4 linked regions of the Schizosaccharomyces pombe genome follow. The gene in region 3 interacts genetically with the main gene of each other region. Each region holds a gene or a part of one and is shown on either strand. Other genes may lie near its edges.

Region 1 (5,386 bases), on a different chromosome or scaffold from region 3:
TAAAAGTGCTAATCTTGTTAGGCAAGAATTGCTTCGAGAATCGTTCATCCAGTGACCAAAAAAGCCGAATATCAGGAATACCGTACAAAATCATTGCGAGACGTTCAAGACCAATTCCAAAAGCCCAACCAATGTAGTTATTTAATCCTGCACCTTTAAGCAGCCTATCCTGGACGACCCCACATCCTAATATTTCAAGCCATTTTCCTTTCCAGTCAATTTCTAACTGAAACGAGGGCTTGGTAAAGGGGAAACTGTCGTACGTCCAACGATACCGAACCTGTTCAGCTCCGGAAGAAATAGAAGGAGCAAGTGATACCAGGTCATGAATCACGGTGGTCAGAGTATCCTTTAAATGTTGGGAAACAAATTTTGTCTCTTCAAGTGAATAAATATCTTGCATGTCATTATGAGTTTCTAATGCAGTAGTTTCATCATCCACCATTGACTTAAGAGATGGAGAAAGAGCTACTTTTTTTAGATCATTTTTCATTTTTGCAGTATCATTTCTGTTCCACACCAATGCACCTTCCATTTGATGAAAAATTGGATAATGACTAGAATCCACTTCATCGCGACGGTATACATCTGCGGTTATTAAGAAACCATTTTTCTTAAATCCTTCTTTGGCCAAGCGAGAGAACTCTTCAGGTTGATGAGCCGAGGTATGGGTTCGAAGACAAGTTTTATTGTTCATATAGTAAGTATCGGATTTGCTTCTACTTACATGTGTCTTGGGAAATCCTAAAGAATCAAAATTCGTCTCTACAGAAACAATAGGTGATTCTTTTTGAACATTATTCATTTCGAATTTTTGAAATTGCTGTTCGAGAAGTTGTCGTAGACTGCATATGGGATGACCTTCTTTTTGAAAAAGGTTTCGACCAATTTTTGAGTGAATATGCTCTGGGACATTGGACCAAGAATCTGTTTGGACTTTTCTTTTCCAATTGGGAAACCTTCTCGAAAATAGTTTCGATAAATGAGAGACTCGATGAGGGAACATTGATTTCTTAAATAACACACTTCACTTTTTGTAATCAAACAATGATAATTTAAATTAGAACAACGAAGCTAACTATTTTTAAAATTAATATATAATAATAATTTAATAGAATTCAATCAATCGGTCTTAATTGCGTCCCATTTGAAAGTAAAAAAATGATAGTACCCAAATATAGGGGTTGTGCCGTTCTTGGATACAATGAACAAAGGAGTAAAATTCGAATCGTTTAATTTTCAAGCAGTGGTTTATAGATTTGGTCAGTTTACAAATATTTCATTCATTGTTTTTGCATAAAAAAAATATATGCTTTAATTTCAAAAGCCATTATCACTCAAATGGATTTCATTACGACGAATTGCAAATTTTATTTCCATAAGACTCCTGACATAACTTTATTTAGAAAGATAGAGCATCATACTGTACATAAAGTTGCCAACTTCAAAAGAAGTGCAGAAAAATTATCAAGGACTTTCTTGTAATCGGTCATATTAGATCAAGTATTTAATAGCTTCACTGTCCTATAAGCCGTACAATCGTAATGTAGGCTACAAAAAACTCAACATTTCAAATAACATTTCAAATCATCCCGATTTTAAAGAAAGCAGCATTCTGCGTATGAAAATTCATTCAAACCCCTAACAAGTTTGTCATCTACTAACATTTTACTCCAAGAAAGGCTGGGGTTTAAAAATTAAATAAAACGGTTTGAAGCGTAACAGCAAAACTCGAACTTTGTACTTAAAGTACGATACAAAACTTGACTTTAGAAAAGGAAATAGATTAGACAACACTAAAATCCTCCAACACGAAATTAGAAGGTCCTGAACGTAATGATACTAAGCTCATGAAATCATGAAAAGGGAGAAACTATTAAGGTGTTCACTAAGGAGGGGAGGATAATTAAATGACTTGATTAGTAATGAAAGAAGGAGTTTGCTTATCCCCGATAATAAAAAATTGAGAAAACTACCAACATACTGGACAGACGTTGTTCTTGAGTAAAATGACAAATATCATGAAATTAAACCAGTCTAAAGTACAAGGTATTTTTCCATGCGTGACTGAAAAAAACTAGGATGATGGTTTCAAAAGATTTTGAATATGATCCTTTTCTTGAGCAGACATCCAATCGGATCCTTGTTTAGAAGATAAAATTTGAGCATACTTAAGGAACTTCTCGGGACAATTCTTAAAATAGTTACATCCAGCAAAATGGATACACAAGTCCCCGTCGTCATAGCCCCAAATATTATCATCAAAATCATATGCGTTTATAGCCTTAAGTGGGACAACACCTACATGTTTATACACCTGGGGATGGTAAAATACCATGTGAGAAAACGCTTGTTGCTCAGCATATCCCTGAATATGATCCAAATATAAGGGTTCAAACCACAAATCAACAATCCAGCGGCCAACTTCGCTATTACGAATAAAAAGACTGCCAGCGTTAATACCATTAAAATCTTGAGAGATGATGAAATGAACATCCTTAGCATCCTGATCCTTTGGAGTTCTAAATCCATCGGCGGGGATACCTGCACCACTCTTATATTCAGCCTCCCTAGTTAAAATGGTATTCAATCGGTCGTGCTTAAGCACATGGTCGACGACGTTAAGATCTTTGTTCATGACCAACGCGTCATGATCAAGCCACCAAATCCATTCAGCGTCAGGATATTTCTTCATCGTATCTTGAAGCATAGGGACCTTAACCCAGGGCATTAAATGACCTGTAACACGAGAAGCATAGGCATCGGCATCTAAGAATTCGAATTTGTAACCATGGCGTTCAGCATATTCACGACGATTTTTGATAATGGACTGAGCGAAAGGATGGAGAGGAGAGTTAGCATCATTTTGAAAGTTAGAGCCCATCAAAATGACGATTTTAGAGTTATCCGGATGAGGATCAGTGGTAGCTAAAGCATGAACTACAGAAGTGACAGTTGGAGTAGCAGTGAAAGTTTCGGTTAAAGTGGCAGTAACACTAACAACTTCACTAATGGTAACACGTAAAGTATCAGTTTGGGTACTGGTTACGGAGGAAACGACTGGGGTCCAAGTACTCGTGTGTTGGTCGATGATCTCCTTCATCTTCGTTTGAAGCTTGGTATCCATAGCTGAAGTCCACCAAGCTCCACCCAGGATTATGGTTGTAATTACAACAGCACTAATTAAATAAGGAGCGAACCGCATTGTCAAATAATCAAGAGTAAACTAATAATATAGAAGAGACAAAATAAAATAAAATGATAAAGGAACGGAGAATTTCCTTAGAAATGCAAAATTAAGCAGTGAACGAAAGATAAAATTAGAGAAAGGATGGTGATGAGTGATATATGAGAGCTTTTAAAAAGTAGAAACAGGAAGGGTAAAAGAACCGACAGTAGGAATATTAGACGAAAATCAAAGAAGATTCTGTGCAATAAAAGAGATTGTATCCAAGAGAATGTAGAAAACCTAGATACGTGTGGTGAATTAAAAAGAAAAAAAACCCCCCCAAGTGAAAATATTCTCTCAACTAAGAAATCTGTTACAATAAGTAATGGTAAGAAAATCCCTGTAGAGAACCTATATGAAAAGGTTCAATTTGTAAATAAATAGTAACCTAACGAACGAAGGCAAAATATAGCAAAGTTTAGAAAGAAAAAGAAGCGAAAGAAGGAAGTAAACACCAGTTTGAAGTATATAACTAGTCCAAACCAATGAAATGAATACTTTAATACTACTTGGCAATGTAGGTGTTAAAAATCACTTGAATCTAATTAAATCCACGATAAAGATTACAATTCAGTACTTGTCAACGCAAAACTAAAAAGAAAGCAAAAATCAAAAACTCAAGAAAAAGTATTGAAATTTAAAAATGCCTCTGGAAACCAAAAAAAAGTGAGATTACCAAAAGCGAAATGAACAAAGCCCGTATAAACGAATAAATTAGCTCAGTAAAAAATCCTTTAAAACCAGTTTTTCGTCAAGGTCTTACAATTAGAATGTTAACAAACACAAAACCAATTGCCTTAAGCAAAAAAAAATTGGTGGTAAGTTAAGGCCAGGTTTAAATCGGGGGGGAATGCTAATATGTTTCTGGAGTGATGGATTAATTGTCTCCTTGTTACCTGCCAAACGTGTTACCTGTTATTGAAAATAAAAAAAGGGAGCTTGCTAAACAATTGTATTTATAGAAGTCAGTGACTTGTGCATCGATGCAATCCCGAATTTCCAAAGAAAATTAGTTTCTACATTCTTTGGTAAAATTCTGCAGTAAATTCTTGACGCTTTGGTGCGGTGATGTTAGTGTAAACAAAGAAAAAGTCAAATGGCTGGTAAAGCCAATATTACAAAACAACATGGCAAGTGCTAGAAATAAAAGTAGTTTAAAGAGATATAATAGTATCATTCAGGTTTTAAAAGACATCGAAATAATTTTTTTTTAGTACTGCCGCTTAATGGGAAAAAATTCTATTCCAAACATGAAAGACAATAAAACTTCTAAAAAAGATGAAAAGAGCAATAAATAAAAATAAAACAATAATAAATCTAAGTAAAGCATAATTCGTATTTATTTAAATATTTTTGTTTCGATTGAAAATTACTGATCCAACTAATTTAACCCTAGAGAGCAAACTAGTAATGACTGAGCAAGATTCATTGCTTTGTTTCTATTACCATACTGTATATTATCGGCTTCTTTATATTATTAATTACCTTATAGCAAGTTCCTCCAATTATTTAGTCCCATCCCATACCATACCGATTGTTTAGGAATTTCCAATCGATCGTTTCGCTAACTTAACTGCATGTAACTTCATTCAAATTCAAAGCCAACAAACCTTTTTCGATGTTTAATGGAACATAGGATCTTTTACCATAAAACTCAATGTTTTCCCCTTTAGTTACACTGCTTTACTTCTTTATTTTTGTAAACGGACAAAAATAAATTTGTCCCCTTTACAACTATCGGACCGGGTGGAAAAGAAAAAAAAGGGTTCCGCAAATCCTAAACTTTCAAATAAGGATTATACAGAAAGGAACTATTTCCTCCGAACATTGCAGAAAAGAGTCAATTTGTCTACTTCCATTTAAAATTTTTTTGCAATGCTCACTCAGCTTTCCAAAGCTTCTTTAACGTGCTAATTATGAGAGTGTGTAATGAAAAATCAAAGACCATCTAGGTTATCGTTAAAGATAATAAGAAACCGAGTTATGGTTGCTGTAAAAAGATATCGCTCTGGCATGCGATGGTTAGTAAATAATACTGGAATCACCGCAATCAAAAGTTTTGCTGCAAAAAAACGAACTGAAGAAACTCCCTTTAAATATTACATTTAAAGAGTTGCTTAAATGTATTGCATCTACAATAAGACTGGTACCGTCCTT
Region 2 (5,154 bases), 1.7 Mb from region 3:
AGAACAAGCTTAAGGTTCCTGCTATTAACGTTAACGACTCTGTTACCAAGTCCAAGTTTGACAATCTTTTTGGATGCAAGGAGTCCTTGGTGGATGGTATCAAGCGTGCCACTGATGTTATGATTGCTGGTAAAGTTGCTGTTGTTGCTGGTTTTGGTGATGTTGGTAAAGGTTGTTCAACTTCTCTTCGTAGCCAAGGTGCCCGTGTCATTGTCACTGAAGTCGATCCCATCAATGCCCTTCAAGCCGCTATGGACGGTTTCGAAGTCACCACTATGGAAGAGGCTGTTAAGGAAGGTCAAATCTTTGTTACCACCACTGGTTGCCGTGACATTATTCGTGGTGAGCACTTCAACGAAATGAAGGAGGACTCTATCGTTTGTAACATTGGTCATTTTGATGTCGAGATCGATGTCGCTTGGTTGAAGGCTAACGCTAAGGATGTTGTTAACATCAAGCCCCAGGTTGATCGTTATGAATTGAAGAACGGTCGTCATATCATTCTTTTAGCTGATGGTCGTCTCGTTAACCTTGGTTGTGCCACCGGACATCCCTCTTTTGTTATGTCCTGCTCTTTCACTAACCAGGTCCTTGCCCAAATCGCTTTGTGGACCGATAACACCAGCTATCCTCTTGGTGTTCATATGCTTCCCAAGAAGTTGGATGAGGAGGTTGCCCGTCTTCATTTGGGTAAACTCGGTGTCAAACTTACTACTTTGACTTCTGTTCAATCCGACTACTTGGGTATCCCTGTTGACGGTCCTTACAAGGCTGATCACTATCGTTACTAATCTATTCTTATCATTTAGTTTATAGAATTTATTTTGAAGTTATAATTACTTTAAAAATGTTTCAGCCTCTTTTTTTTGCATGAGTGATGTTTCAACAGCATCTATGTCTCTATGTCGCCATGAAATGCATTAATGTTATTCAACTGGGTTTATGTGGATTTCAGGTCAAACATAATAAATGTTTCTTTCTTTGCATAGAATAGCAATTAACGTGCTTTCATTAAGAAGATTTGATGAATATAACATATGAATTGCTTGACTTGTAAACCAATCTGCGATGTATTTCCGTAAACGAAAAACATATCTTCCCTTGATCAAACAAAGGAAATTAAGTATAAATTCATTAAATTAATGTAGGAATATGCAAACCACCGAATTTGAAAGATAGGTTTAGATGAAGATGAGTTACTGGAAATGAAAGTAAGATGCTAAGACAGTACTAACCTACGATTGTTCATCAACCGTTTCTTCCGAAAGCTGCTTTTTAATGGCTGGAAGTTTTCTCTGTTGATAGTAGTTGCTGGAAGTGTTAGTAAAAATACAAGAGACCAAGATGATAAATAGAATACATACTCGAATATACGCTCGCATGCAGCAGCGTTCTCACAGTCCTGAAGAATAACCAAGAAATCACCTTCTTCGTAATTCAAATCGACCGCAGAGTTGGTGTATGAATTTAAAACTTTAGGAGACACAAGTGCAACATGATCCAAGATAGTGTTATGTGCTTCCAATAAGTGGGATAGCGCAGATCGCTCAGCTTGATCAAAACCGGCGGATTTCAACAAAGGTTCATTCCAAGCATCTAAAAGAAATGGCGCAAAGTTGTTATTTTTAATAAGCAAAGAACGCGTACTAATTCCATTATAATCACTGGTGGTAATTACAAATACATCAGATGGATCCATTTTACGGCGTGTACGGATGTAGTTCTTTAATGGATCGATCGGAGAATTAAGAAGCAAATGCTGCGACAGTTTTTCTGGTTTCAAGACCCTATCCTTGAGAGATTCGGAAGGATTCATTATAACAGCCTTTGCATCGAGCAACCATATCCAGCCAGCGTCGGGATACTCAGCCAAAGTTTCCCTCAAAGCTGGGATAATACTCCAAGTACCATAGACACCATACCTCGCTTGAATATCGCGGGCTTTCTTGTGGACTAGGGTATAGCCATGACGCAAGGCATACTCTGTACGATCAGAAAGCACTTTATCCAGGAAGACAGAGCTGGAGTCAGATCTACTTGAATCATAATGGTCGTCAAAACTAACAATCAACATGACTACGGAATCAGGATCTTGTGGAGATGTTTTCGCCTTAGAAACACCTTTGTATGAAGAGGAATGGGCACTGGGAGAACCAATCGAATTGGAATAAACAGGCATTGAAGACTTTAAAGAATAAAAGCCAAAAAGCAATAAAACGATGGCCAAGAGACCTAAACTTTTTCCTCTACGAGAAAATAAACGAAAGTTGAACATCTTGCAGAATACAAAGTAAAAAAGTGCAAAACAAACAGTTTGCGAGAAAAAATGAGTTGGTTATGCGCGTCTATGGAACAAGATAACGGTTTAAAAGAATAAACCTTAGGGGTTTTTTAAATGTGCAAATAATGTAGAAAAGAAGGTAAGAGAATATCTGTAAATCGAGAAGGTATAAATAGAGAAGAGAAAAAAAGGTATAAAGATCTGGGTCGTAAAGAAAATGGAATATATATGGCCCTTTTTTAAATGCAAATAAATGATCCAACGATATATACGCGAGTATATCCGAAAATTAAAACAGTAAAGATGTTACAGAGGGCGTTTTCACTAAGAAATACGAAAAACCGGATAATGAAAGAAACCTTGCGAGAACACAACGCCTAGCTTTCAAAATGAGCCTTTTTGTCAAGCTATATCGGCGATATTTAAAAAAGAGGAAGATTCTACAATTTAAACAACAATAGATTATAGCTTATCCTGACAACAATCCTTTTACACCGTTTCAAAGACTACGAGTCAAGATGGACTGGTTATTGATATTGAATATGATTTTTACAGAAATCAGGATCCACCCAACCACGTACTAAGAGCAGAGAAACGTTGCTTTTATAATTGGCAGCAACTTGGCTGTATTTGTAGTCTGCGTGTTCGACATTCGAAGGATTTTGATTAACGTGTACGATGCATCCTACCTAACGTACTCTAACGTGTTTTTAGATTTTTTTAGTGATATTGAAATTATACTTTAAACTGTTATAGCGTTATACCCGGTGCTACTCATTATATAGCGAAAATCATAAAAGTAAATAGTAAATAGAGTAAGATTGAAGATGAATTGAATCAGAGTCGATGAACTTCTATTGACTTAAAAAATTATGTATGTAATTAATAAAATATCATCTTGTTTTTTCTACTAACAAATTTTTACAGCGGTTATATACAAGCTTCGGCGTGTATAGTTGGTTTATATAAATTGCAAGCAAAGTGTACACCATTTTTTTTATTATTTCCATATAAAGAAAAAAAAAAAAAAAAAAAAAGGGGATTCTATAGCCCTTTGGTATTTACGAAGACTCATTGATAGTTTAAATCGCACTCATTGAATGGCATTAAACACATTTGTTTGTTTGAATTTTTTTCATTGTTTATGAAGTACAGGATTTTTTTTTTTACCTATCAATAAAAGTATTGATATAAAATATCCCTTTACCTTGATCAATACTTCAAAAAAAATTTAAAATTAGTTTAATTATATTAAATGGACGGTTTTTAGCCTGGTAAATGAAATTCATGCCTTTACTCTTCACCAACTTTTTAAGACGTTAAAATTTTTATAAAAAGCCAAATCCTAATATTCTGTTTCCCAAGACAGCAAAAAGTAAATAAAATACTGCTACTTGGGCCATATTATTACTTCTCATTAATTGCTTACAGAAACTGCTATGGAAAAAGAAAGCGAAATACAAAGCTTACCACCAACGAGACGATATACGATATCTTTAGCATTACCTATTTCAAGTCTAAATGTAGCATACAATTTGCAGCTTAAAACGAGTTTTGTCTGGAAGGTTTGAAAGATTCGTTGTTGTCGCGTATTAACTCAAAATATAGATTTCGAGAATAGTTTCTCTATATGGTATTGACGAAATTATTTTGCTAGAGGACCCTGAATATGTGCAAAACACCCAGGTACATACACTTTCCTCTGATGCTTATTTAAAGGATCCCACAAAATTTCTCACGGACTTATTATGCTATTTCGAAACGCCTTTCTTTATGAGGAAGGAATTGTTTCCACTAAATCCACATCTAAAATATACTAGCTGCTTTCCATTACTTCCCCTCAGAAATGACAAGGCTAGCACAGTGAATATTGAATTCCCATACCGAGAGGGAATCGTTACTCATCCATCTCCGCAAGCAAAGAATAAATATATTATAAATGCTGGACTATCTCACAATGTAATCGTTTCCAGCCCCAGCGTCCTTGCTCCTAGAACAAGGGTCACGGTTCGATTAAAAGCGCAGTCTCCAAACGAAGAAGGCCAGCTTCAAGGTGATATCGTGTCTTTTTCAGCTCCACGAGAAAAAGGTGGTCATTATTGGGGTTACAAGGTGCGGTCATGTCTTTCTTCTCAGCTGTGTAAAAGTTCTCCTTACAAAGGTGGATATGACTTTGTTGTTCAAATCAACAGTCAGACTTCAGCTATTACTTCAAAAGAGTTAGAAGCGAGTTTACCAAGTTCGTTTCGGCATGCTGTTCTTGTTTTACAAGACAATGTCGTACAAAAAGAGCTCGTAGACTCCACTGCCAAAAGTATTTCTTTTAACCCATTCCCAGTTTCTTTTCTAAATGATCCCATTCCTGAAGAGATACTTTTGGCGGCCATGACCCGTTTGTCAGATATGTTGCTGATGCATGGACGACGATAAAGCCTAAATACTTACAAAGGTGAAGCTGTCTTTTTCTTACTTAAATATTATAAAGCTGTCTCGCTAATCAAGGAAAACAAAATCAATTTTGAATATGATAAATTATAAGGATAACTTGGGTATAAAGACGATATTAGAAACTAAGACGAGAATTATTATGATTAAAATTATATCTAAGAGTGTATTGTTGAAATAAAGAATAAAAAAATTTAAAAGATGATTCGAGTCAATGCAAAAAAGGGTAATTCTGTTGAAGACAAACTCCTATCGAGTGTACCTAGATAAGCAGCCATGTTTAAACACTCATAGAAGCAGGGTTTCCTGATCTCTTTTTAATAAGATTCTCCATAAAATATTCGCCAGCCTTATAGCTACTACGAACAAGTGGACCACTAGCCACGTATAAGAATCCTAATTTCTCTGCCACTTCTTTCCAATATTCA
Region 3 (5,075 bases):
GACAAACCACTTTCAATTAAGTCTTCAGTTTTAATTTGATCGACCATAATTATTTCGGCCCCATCAAGTCGCAATCGTTCAATTTTCCATTCATCAACCCCTTTCATAACAAGGACATGAACGGGATATTTACTTTTCGTTTCAGGATGATGTTTCAGCTTGTATACTAGTACTCGAGTAGCATTGAAGTATACATCATGTTCTGAAGTAGGAAGGGTAAGTAAGCCCATAAATGTATACCTTTTTAAATCATCTACATTATCGTTATAATATGGGCCATGCTTATGAAGCCCAAATTCATAGGCTGCCGATGAAATTAGCGATCCAGGAAATGCGGGATCCCGATATATTTGGATCCCTAAAAGTAAACCCAAATTCAGCAAAAGAATTAGTGAAATCAAGACAAATTTTGAGCGAAGTAGAAGCCTGGTATGTAAGCGTAACCGCTTAAAGAAATTCATATTCTATAAAGCAAATTTTATCGCTTTCCGCAACTTCGTTTATAGCTATAAAATCCCCACCAGAATAATAAAAACCCTAGGATTATAACTGACTATATCTCGTTAAGACTTGCTAGGTTTAATACAATAAATATAATGTAGTTTGTATTATTGAGTTTGGTAGTGGCTGACTACAATTTAGGAGACTAAAGGTACGATGTAATGCGTACGAAGTATAGTTTTTCATGTAAAATTTTAAGATTATTTGAGTTTACAGTACTTGTTATTTGACATTAAAAGGTTTAAAAAATTTATCAATTACTTGCTATTGATATTTTCTATCCCATCTTCACTCTATCTAAAACCAAGCCTTCTTTGATATATATATTTAAAACAACTTTTAAATAGATTTGCTACCTAAAACATTTTCAAATGTCTTATTGAAATCTAAAAATGAAAAACATGCTAAGGATACGTATGCTCACTAATTAGCAATTTTTATATAAATCCGTTGGTTTTCCTTTGGTCAAAGAAAAAGCATTTATAACATGTTTGCTTACAATTTTAAAATTGATGATAGGACTAACACTTGATTCTTTACACTAATTAGGAATTTTTTAAGAAGGAGCAAAATTTCTTGAAACCATTGAACTTTCAGTGAGTTTTAAACATACGTGATCTAATTTGCATACAGAGAGGAAGCTATTTTTTTGATTATGGTTTACCTGTATCCAGAATCCCATCGATCGTGTATATGAATTTGAATAGTATAGTGGTTTTAAAAAAGGACGGAGGAAACACAAATTATTTTAGAATGACTGTAAAAATGAGATAGCCTTTCAACAGTACGTGTTGTCAGCAATACATTAAATGAAAATAACTGCTTCTTAAAAGTCAAAAGCCGCCTTATTTTTTACTTGATCACGACATGAAAATTGCTTTCATCTGTTTAATATAAATCAGCATTACGTTGTTGGTCATGATACGTTTGCATTTCTTGAAACGCATCCCACCATAGCTTGGATGTGTCTTCATCATAACCTAGACTTCCTTCTGGTTGCCAATGTTTTCCATGAACTGCTTTTAGATATGGTAAGTCATTTTTTCTAGCCCAAAGTCCGTTAAAAGTCCAATCAAGTGACTCCCATGGAAAAGCACCTGCTGAATTGTATGCAAAATTTAGCAAACTTTGCTCCATCATGTTTGCATTATCATACAATTTTGGAAACCTTGCTAATGCCATTAACCTTTTATAATGTGCCTTCAATGGCTTAAAGACGAATAGACCAGCATTAAAATAATCTTTAAAAGGAGGAGGAGTTTCATGCCACATACCTGGATCGGACACAGCAGCGAAAACGTAGGGATAAAGATCGTCTCTTGTCAGCCCGTAAGCTGCAAACTCTTCTGTAAAGCGTCTCCAAAAAATGCTGCGCCTAGGCTTGTAGAATAGGGTGGGAGGAAACAGAACAGAATCCTTACTATAGGAGAGTTGGTGAACATCAAAAACTTTGTCCATTTTTTTAATAGGCAAAATATCACTATCAAGAAAACATATTCTATCATATTCGTACATTTCGAAAACTCTCAACTTGGTAAACATCATACTCCATCGGGAATCCAGTAGGGCAATGTCATTGACATCGTCAACCACTTCATGAGCATATAGTGGATCGACTACTTTAACAATAGCTCCGTCTTCCTGCAATTGATCAAGCTTCCACTGATCAATTCCCTTCATGGCTAGCACTACAACGGGATACTTGCTTTTCGTAGGTTTAAATTTGACAAGTCGGTGAACGAGAAGCCTAGTTGAATTATAATACCAATCCTGTTGCGTATTTTCTACTTCGTTTTCCCCATTAGCGGCGCGTACAGTAAGCATAGTTACAAATGCCATCTTAGAAGAGGGCGCCAACCCTGTCAGTGTGTAAACTGACCTTTGTATTTCTGGACTATGATTGTATAGCAAAACACATTGCCAACCTAATAAAATAATGCTCAAGGTAATCAGTAAACACAGTCCTAGTCGTTTGGGATGGCGAAAAGCACTAAAATATAAACGCATTTTAATGGCAATTGATTGCCAAATTATAAAATGGTGGTGCTTTCGGAGAGAATTACTCTACATACTCCCTTAATGTTTGTTGGTGCATCATACACATTTTGCTTACTTTCAATACCAAAACAAACTCAACACCCTGAAAAACAAATAACATAATTAAATCGACTTTATAACGTAAAAACATCAAATGTTTAAAAATTAAACAAGCTTACTATTTTAACTATAAGAAATGTTAAGATACATGACTCTGACTTAAAATTTTCTCTTATTTAATAAGACGTTTAACCTAAACCAATTATAGTATAATACTAAATAGTTACCGACAAGCTAAGCTACTCAAACTATGTCGAAATGGGTGAATGACGAGATAAAGACAGTTGCTTCCACTGAGGGTTAACAGCCAGTGTGAAAAAAGGATAAAATAACGGTGACTTGAAAAAAGGGCTATCGAACAACTGTTAGAAATTGTCCGGATTTTTTAGGTTATAACAATTGCTTAGGGAAGCAAATTAAGACGGGAAGCAATATCCACTTGAGTACGTAAGGTATTTGCGAGATAAACTACAACCAAAACATCTTGAAGATGTGATGAAAAAATTTTTTCAAAATCTTGGCCTTCTACGCAAGGAATTAAACTAAAGCACTTCATCAAATATCTACCGACAGCAACATTAGCAGGCGAAGAACCATCAATTACGTTTTGCACATAATCGGAAACTCTTTCAATCATAGATAAAAGCTCCAAGGTTGATCTTCGAAGTTGCTGGAGATCTGTGAATAGGCTAGCAAGTCTAGATGGGTCATTCTTAGGAGCAGCTACAGCTTTCAAACCAGAACGGACTGCCTCGTCATCACGAATGGTAAAAGGGGTAGGGACGAATGCACAGCTGTCAGCAAGGCGCTCTGTAATACCTACTGGTGAAGAAACGTAAGTCTTGATGGCAAGGGGACTGCTAACATCTGTGTTGACAGTAAGGTGAACACAGGGATGAGGATACGTTCCTAGTGGAGCAGTTCCGGGTTCAGCAGGAGAAGCATATAAATTTTGAATCAGTGCACTGAAAGCATCTAAATCAGGAGAAGTAGCATACCAACCAACGACAACTTCACGAGGGTTAGCCTTGAGGTGTAAATGGTACATCGCACGATGATATTCCATTTCAACTTCTACCTGCTCACTGCTCTCATTATGAGGAACTGCAAAACAACTTTTAATCTCAATTTCTCGGCCATCTTCAGAACGTGTTCCCAAAAGTGTACCGATAACACGTTGATTATTTTCACTTTTCCGGGTTGAATGGTCAAGGATAGAAAAAAGCACTGCTGGTTCAATGACAATGTTCAAAGGACTTGACCTGGAAGACGGTTTTGTGAGATGGAGTACGTGCTTAGTCCCCAAAGCCATTTTTTAAAATTTTCACGTTGTTGGCTACTCTCAGGTAGGTAGATCTGGTATTGTTCCCCAATCAATAATAATTTTACTGTACTAGTTTACAGTCTCATAGAATTCGTTAAATTGAAGACACTATTTTTCGCCTAACTTCTAAGGTTTACCATTTAAGAAAGTGTATTTTCAGTTGCGTTGAATAATCTAAAAAATCTCCTTAACAATGTCTCATTTGTACGTACAATAATGAGAAACTCTTTATTCAAAATTCTATAACTATTTACATTTGTACATTCTCTGGTTAAAAATCATTTATATATATATACAATGTTCAAAAAATTCGGTTAGCAAAAAAGTGTAAACATAAAACCCAAAAAAGCAGTTTGCTTTTTCTTGACTAATAATGAACAGTAATTTAACTCATATCAGCAAAAACAGAGCACTCACGAACATGAATACCATAGGAAGTAGGAACCTTCGTTTCTTCATAAGCACTTTCTAGCTGAGAACCTCCACTAGAAGAAGTAGTATCAAACATATCTGGTTTCAAAAACAATTTGGTGAGACCAGGGTTATTAGAGGAATCAACCATGCGAATACGGAACTCGATAACTGGCTTTCTAATAGCAGCACTAGGACTAATCGCAAACTTGGCTAAAATTTTAAATCCAGACGAAGATATATTAATGTTCGAAAGATGTAGCTTAAGTTTACTAGTTTTCCTGCTAAATTCTCCGGCCGGAGAACTTTGACAGCTTTTTACAAGGACATTTTCCCCCAAGTAAACGATGATAACAAGTTTTTCAATATGAAGAGATGAGCCTAAGTTCCTCCACACAGGATTAGGCTTCACAAATGCAATCATACTACTACTGCTTTCATCATGCTTCCATTTCTGAACAACTGTCAATGGAATGCAACTAGCACCGTTAATACTATCAAGATGTAGATTAAAATCAGTGACTTTGATTGGTGAGAGAAGTAGCTCTGGTATTAAAGAAAGTGTGTTTTCTGAGGGTCCATATTTTACTGCATGGTCATTTAAATGAGTAAAAGACATAGGAAATTCAGACGCAACGCGAACACCCATTTCAGGAGGAGGGGTATTAAAATCCGAGGTATATTTCATGAATATATGACCGGAACAGGAAGGATGAAGAAGGCCATCTTCAGATAATTCACC
Region 4 (5,968 bases), on a different chromosome or scaffold from region 3:
AATGGAACGTAACGATACTTGAGCATGTGCTGAATTTGTCGTCGAAAGCAGAAAAAAGAAAGTACAAGATAATAGACAACAAGAATAGGCCAAAACACAGGTACATCAAATATTCGGAAAAAGGACGCGACTAAGGCGAACAAGGTGGCACGCATGCTTGAATACCAAAACTTGAATTCTGGCAATCTACGAATAAAGGGTCGAAATTCATCGTCTTTGGAAGTAGGAAGAACTCCTTCTTCAATTTCTTCATCTTTCATTGCTTGCTCAACACTAGGATCGAATTTTGGAGTCAAGAACGCAAGGAACAGATTGAGCAGGTAAATGGCTAATGTATAGCAAACAATATACCAACCGCGAACCAGTAGAATCCTAATAAAAAATAATGCAATTAATCCACTAACAGTCAGCCATCTATACGTTGTATAAGGTATGGTTCGGTCCACCCAGTGTCGATACAACTAAAAACACGTTAGATTTTCTTCTTTTCTCAAGCTAATCAAGTTATTCTTACTCGAACTGCAAAGTTTTTCTTCTCTTTAACATTTTCTATATGACGCTGAATGAATTCCATGCTTAAATACTGTCAAACAGACGATAAAATGGTGGTTGGTAGTGAAGTGAAATATGTATTCAATTCAGACATATACGCGCTACTGCCAGACTCCATTTACCCCCTACACTAGAATACAGTATACATTATAATGTGTTATCGGTGAATGATATTATTAGTTTAAAGTAATATAACGATAAAGTAATAATTTGTCTCTACAGGACTCGAGAGCGGTAAGCGTGTAAAGAAAAGATTCAGTGATAATTTGGCAGTCAGAATTACTTTTTTTTTGAATAGATTAGTATAGTTACACCACGGTTACGTTTACCAATTTGAAGTTCCTAAATATGATCAACTCATTAACCGATTAGAAATTTAATGCATATACTTACCAATACGTTAAACTGTATACAGCTCACCTTCGACTTCATTAATTTTGCAGAAAAATGGCATGTCGATTTGGGTGTTTATGAAGAATTCATAGTAGTAAACGAGTCGTCAATTTGTTGGAAAAGTCAAGAGTAAAGATAATAATCTGAAGAATTTGTCTGGGTACTCTTTAACATTTACAACATGACACTTCTTCTTTCGATGCAAGCTTTTATAAAAAGGTTCATTAAGCAAATGTAGCGGAAATAACAACTAATGATCATTGAGTATAGCCGGTGCTGGACATCTCTAATAAAGCGATGTCAACTTCTATTTGAAATTAACGGCAAAGCTCTTTTCAAACCAGCCATGAATTTTGCAGTTATCATCAACCCTAACAGCATTATAATTTACACAAATGTAATATAATGCTTGTTTATTTTATTTCGAGGTTCATAAAGTCAGATAACGTATGCTTTTTCAATTCATGACAATCCTGCACAGCAAAATAATGTGACAAATCTACATTGAATAGCTTTAATAAAAGGAAAAAGAAATTAATGAATTCAGTCTATAAAAGTAAACCAGATCGACATTTATACGCAGATTAGATTGAAGACAAAGGCAAGGAAGAAATGTATAGAAAAAGACAAGATTGCAAGCATTGCCAACTTCCTAAACAAAAAAAAATACAAATATCAAACTTAGGATCAAGCGATATAACTTTACCTACCCAAATATCCACAGCTTTTTAGGAGTAATATCGATTATGTTTCACACAGGTAGCATAGATTCAATAATAATTGAAAAAAAGCCAAAGATTAAGTGCAATAAAACAAATATAATAAAAGATTGGTGGTTTCAGCCTTAAGCTTATGAATTAAACACAATTAATATTTGTCTGGGGCCTGCAAAACCACCTATAATATAAGTGTCACAATTAGTTTATATAGCAATGTATATTAGAAAAATTAAAGAAGGAATTAGATGATTATCCACCACCTCTGTAACAGAACACCGCATATAAAATAAACACATTCTTCCATTGAAAACAACCGTAACTAGCACGGTTAAGGAGGCAGACTATGCTTAGATAATATATACACATACATAGAGCATAATTGTATAGGTAATTATGTAAAAGGAGTGGCATCCAGTGGCTTGTGTATAATAAAAATAAAGACAAGATGAGGGGAAATAACCAAATGCATTAATAATGGTAATACTATTATTATTAATGCACATCAATGAACCCTCTCACGATATTCATCCCACAAAACCTGACAACGGTTCTCCACCCAACACCCAGCAAAATGTATAACCAAATGACCTTCTTTCCAGCCCATTTCCGGCTGGCCAACAGGGTAAGAATTAATAAGGGTTTGAGGTAAAATTCCTATTATAGCAGCAATTTCCGGGTGATATCTAACAAAATATCCCAAAAGGGCCTGTTCATGATCCGCAACCTTATTTTCTCTAAAGGATTTATCGCCCCATAAGTCCAAAAACAGAGCCATCATGGGCGACCTTCTAACAAAGAAACTTCCCGCGTTTAAGCCATTCAAATCTTGAGAAATCAATAGCCCTAAAGAACGAGCACTGTCAACAGTATAGGAACTTGGGGTGAGACGTTCGAGATCAGCACTAAATGGAGATATCATAGGTTCATTCTTCATTAACTTTTCCACTAAAACGTCAGGTGACAAAATATGTTCTTGAATAGAGAGTTCTGTGTTCAAAATTAACGCATCTTGGTCCAACCACCAAATCCATTTCGCATGAGGATGCTTATTCATTGTTTGTATAATAGCGGGCATTTTGGCCCACACTGGAGGAATGTTCATTTGGCTTACATTAACATATTCAAAGCCATAGTTGTGATGCTTTGCGTAGTTAATTCGGTTTTCTATGCATTGATTAAATGTTTCAGGTGCCATATTGCCACTTGAACGTCCATCACTCGCTAAGAGGATTACTATTTCATGGGATTTGGGCTCTTGAGGATCATCCTCGTTAATTGTCGCTTGATGATACGTCGTGCTAAGGCCTTGCATATCTTCATCCAGAGGTACTAAGTAGTCGTATTCTTGTACACTTGGTTTGGAAAATACATCTTGTAAACGTTCTAAAGCAGGTGAAGCAGAAAAAGAGTTTCCAAATTGGAAGTAAATGAGAAAAGAGCTAATCCCAATGATTAACAACACGAATATAACACGAGATAACTTCCACTGTAGGACTGCCATTTTAAAGATTAGCAGATGTTAAATGCAAATTAATAAAAAAATAAAAAATAAAATTTAGTCTTTTAGAGACAAGAGAAACTCTTTTTCAAGTTTCACAAATATAAACTGAGATTGGATAAAAGCAAAACAATAAGATACCAAGAATGGATCAGAAATTATGAATGAAATGGGAAACTTTCTACTCTTTCTCGGTAGAAAATTAGAAAGCCGTTTTAAAAATTAAAATGAGATTTGTGATATTCCAAAGAATACTACGTTTGAAACACGAATCTTCGCCCGTTGACTCAAGAAACGAGAGAAAACAGTAAAAAGAAATTGAAAATATAATGTAAATTATAATAAAAAAATATGAATGAATTAGATTCTTTAAAAAATGATTAACCAGATGGACCTGGAATTAAAGGCAGTGTGTAGTGGAAGGATTGAAATTACCGCATCATGGAGTCAATCATCATAAATTTACGGTTTCCTCTACTTATCGTATCCTATTTATAATAAAAGAAGAAAAAGAAGAAAAATCTGTATGGTAATGATTTATGTTCAAAATAATGAGTTGTTCCTTTAAAATCACGTTTCCAAACTTTTAATGACATGATTCACAGTACTTAAACATTTTAACCAGTTTTATACGTTGGGACAAATAACAGGAATGGCTTAATTCAGCAATACGTCTAAATCAATGTCATGATTGAATGGGAAAATAATCAAACGATTCAAATTGTTGAAACAGGTAAAGCAGATCAAGTACTGGAATGCGGACTGAAGTCCAATTCGAGAATGGTTACAACTATGAAATGAGAATTAATTTACTGAAAAGAATACAGTATCAATGGAATAGCTTTCCTGATAATGTGAAAGCTGTTTAAAGAGTATTCTATGTGTCTAGAGTGCAGACTCGTGGATTTTCACAGTAATGAATAAGAAATGTTAAACTAAAAATATCAATTGTTGTTATTATCTTGATTTTTCATATATCTGTTAAACTCCCGCTTTCCGATTTTCTTTTTGGGTCAACTCATAAATGTATATGTGTGAGTAACTGAAATGATCACGAAACAAGCGGAAAGCTGAAAGATAGGGATACTCATTTCAGATCTTTTTGATTCTTCATTTTTTGGAAGTCACCAAGCTCTTTTGGTCAATATTCCTTCGTTCAACTTCGTATTCTTATAAATGGACTAGCGATGAGGCAAAAATCTAGCAATGTTAATTGCTAGAAATGCAATTAAGTTAAAGCAAACTTAAGCTAAGAATTCAGGACTAAGGTCACTCAAAAAGGTTCTTCATAAGATCCTCTATACTTAGTCAAAAAAACAAACTATATGCAACAGGATTGTCACAGCTATTTTTTCAAAAATGAATGATAGATAAATGTCAAAAAAGCTCAATCATCCTATTTACAAAAGTTTTATACATGTCTTTCAGGAACGTATCCGAGCACTAATGCACCACTCCGACATTGAGTATCTTTCGGTTTGCGCTAATCTGATCTAATAATTTAAATGACTTCTAATAGCATAGAATCGTCTTAAAATTAAACTCATTAGCGAGAGATCGCATTTGAGTTTGTAAATAAAAACAGGTTGAGTAAAGGGGGTATCCGTCAAAAGAGGATAAATTTCGTTCTTCTTCTACTTTGAATATTATTTTAGTTTCTTTTTTAAAAGCCATGAATTCAAGTGACTGAAGCATCTATCCTCGATCAAATTTAACATACACAGCTAGTTCACACAATCTTTCCTCACCACCATACCTGCTATATTTTTTCTTTCAACAACCAACTCCATGTCGCGTTTTTCAATAGAAGGGAAGTCTTTGAAATTAGATGCAATTACAACTGAAGACGAGAAGTCTGTATTTGCTGTTCTGTTAGAAGATGATTCTGTAAAGGAAATTGTATTGTCTGGTAACACAATTGGAACCGAAGCTGCTAGATGGTTGTCAGAGAATATTGCCTCAAAAAAAGATTTAGAAATTGCAGAGTTTAGTGATATCTTTACTGGACGTGTCAAAGATGAAATTCCTGAGGCTTTACGTCTGTTGCTACAAGCTTTACTCAAGTGCCCAAAACTACATACTGTAAGATTGAGCGATAATGCCTTTGGCCCTACTGCACAGGAGCCCTTGATTGACTTTCTTTCAAAACACACACCTTTGGAGCATCTTTACCTACACAATAATGGACTCGGTCCTCAAGCTGGCGCAAAAATTGCTCGTGCCTTGCAAGAGCTGGCGGTCAACAAGAAAGCTAAAAATGCACCTCCCTTGCGTTCCATTATTTGTGGAAGAAATCGTTTAGAAAATGGGAGTATGAAAGAATGGGCTAAAACTTTCCAGAGCCACCGTTTGCTACATACAGTGAAAATGGTGCAAAATGGTATCCGTCCCGAAGGTATTGAACACTTATTGCTTGAAGGATTAGCATATTGCCAAGAGCTAAAGGTACTCGATCTTCAAGATAACACATTTACGCACTTGGGCTCTAGCGCTCTCGCTATCGCGTTGAAAAGCTGGCCCAACCTTCGAGAACTAGGCCTCAACGATTGTCTCTTATCTGCTCGCGGTGCTGCCGCAGTTGTAGATGCTTTTTCTAAATTAGAAAATATTGGGCTTCAAACGTTACGCTTACAGTATAACGAGATAGAGCTGGATGCTGTCCGGACCCTAAAAACTGTGATTGATGAGAAAATGCCGGATCTTTTATTCCTTGAATTAAATGGAAACAGATTTTCGGAAGAAGACGATGTTGTTGATGAAATACGTGAAGTCTTTAGCACCCGTGGTCGTGGTGAACTAGATGAGC

The links.
Region 1: mutations in otg2 (region 3) and gma12 impair growth when combined (synthetic growth defect), as found in Schizosaccharomyces pombe (one study listed by BioGRID).
Region 2: mutations in otg2 (region 3) and gmh4 impair growth when combined (synthetic growth defect), as found in Schizosaccharomyces pombe (one study listed by BioGRID).
Region 4: mutations in otg2 (region 3) and gmh3 impair growth when combined (synthetic growth defect), as found in Schizosaccharomyces pombe (one study listed by BioGRID).

What each region holds. Positions count from the first base shown.
Region 1 is NC_003421.2:314,648-320,033, forward strand, and holds gma12 (Golgi alpha-1,2-galactosyltransferase Gma12), read right to left. Parts: upstream 3,206-5,386; coding exon 2,078-3,205; 3' UTR 1,180-2,077; downstream 1-1,179. Other genes in the region: msf1 (phenylalanyl-tRNA synthetase), read right to left, coding at 1-1,006. UniProt on the Schizosaccharomyces pombe protein: Involved in the O- and N-linked oligosaccharide modification of proteins transported through the Golgi stack. This occurs in cis Golgi where the enzyme transfers galactose from UDP-galactose to a variety of mannose based acceptors.
Region 2 is NC_003423.3:1,387,304-1,392,457, reverse strand, and holds gmh4 (alpha-1,2-galactosyltransferase Gmh4), read right to left. Parts: upstream 2,923-5,154; 5' UTR 2,276-2,922; coding exon 1,365-2,275; intron 1,312-1,364; coding exon 1,236-1,311; 3' UTR 792-1,235; downstream 1-791. Other genes in the region: SPOM_SPBC8D2.18C (adenosylhomocysteinase), read left to right, coding at 1-791; SPOM_SPBC8D2.16C (uncharacterized protein), read left to right, coding at 3,721-3,846, 3,890-4,711; lipoic acid synthetase Lip5, read right to left, coding at 5,007-5,154.
Region 3 is NC_003423.3:3,119,897-3,124,971, forward strand, and holds otg2 (alpha-1,3-galactosyltransferase Otg2), read right to left. Parts: upstream 2,553-5,075; 5' UTR 2,509-2,552; coding exon 1,390-2,508; 3' UTR 875-1,389; downstream 1-874. Other genes in the region: alpha-1,3-galactosyltransferase Otg3, read right to left, coding at 1-461; tif306 (translation initiation factor eIF3f), read right to left, coding at 3,002-3,910; cytoskeletal protein Syp1, read right to left, coding at 4,308-5,075.
Region 4 is NC_003424.3:5,026,834-5,032,801, forward strand, and holds gmh3 (alpha-1,2-galactosyltransferase Gmh3), read right to left. Parts: upstream 3,581-5,968; 5' UTR 3,166-3,580; coding exon 2,167-3,165; 3' UTR 946-2,166; intron 895-945; 3' UTR 772-894; downstream 1-771. Other genes in the region: Rer1 family protein, read right to left, coding at 1-461, 515-574; RanGAP Rna1, read left to right, coding at 4,951-5,968.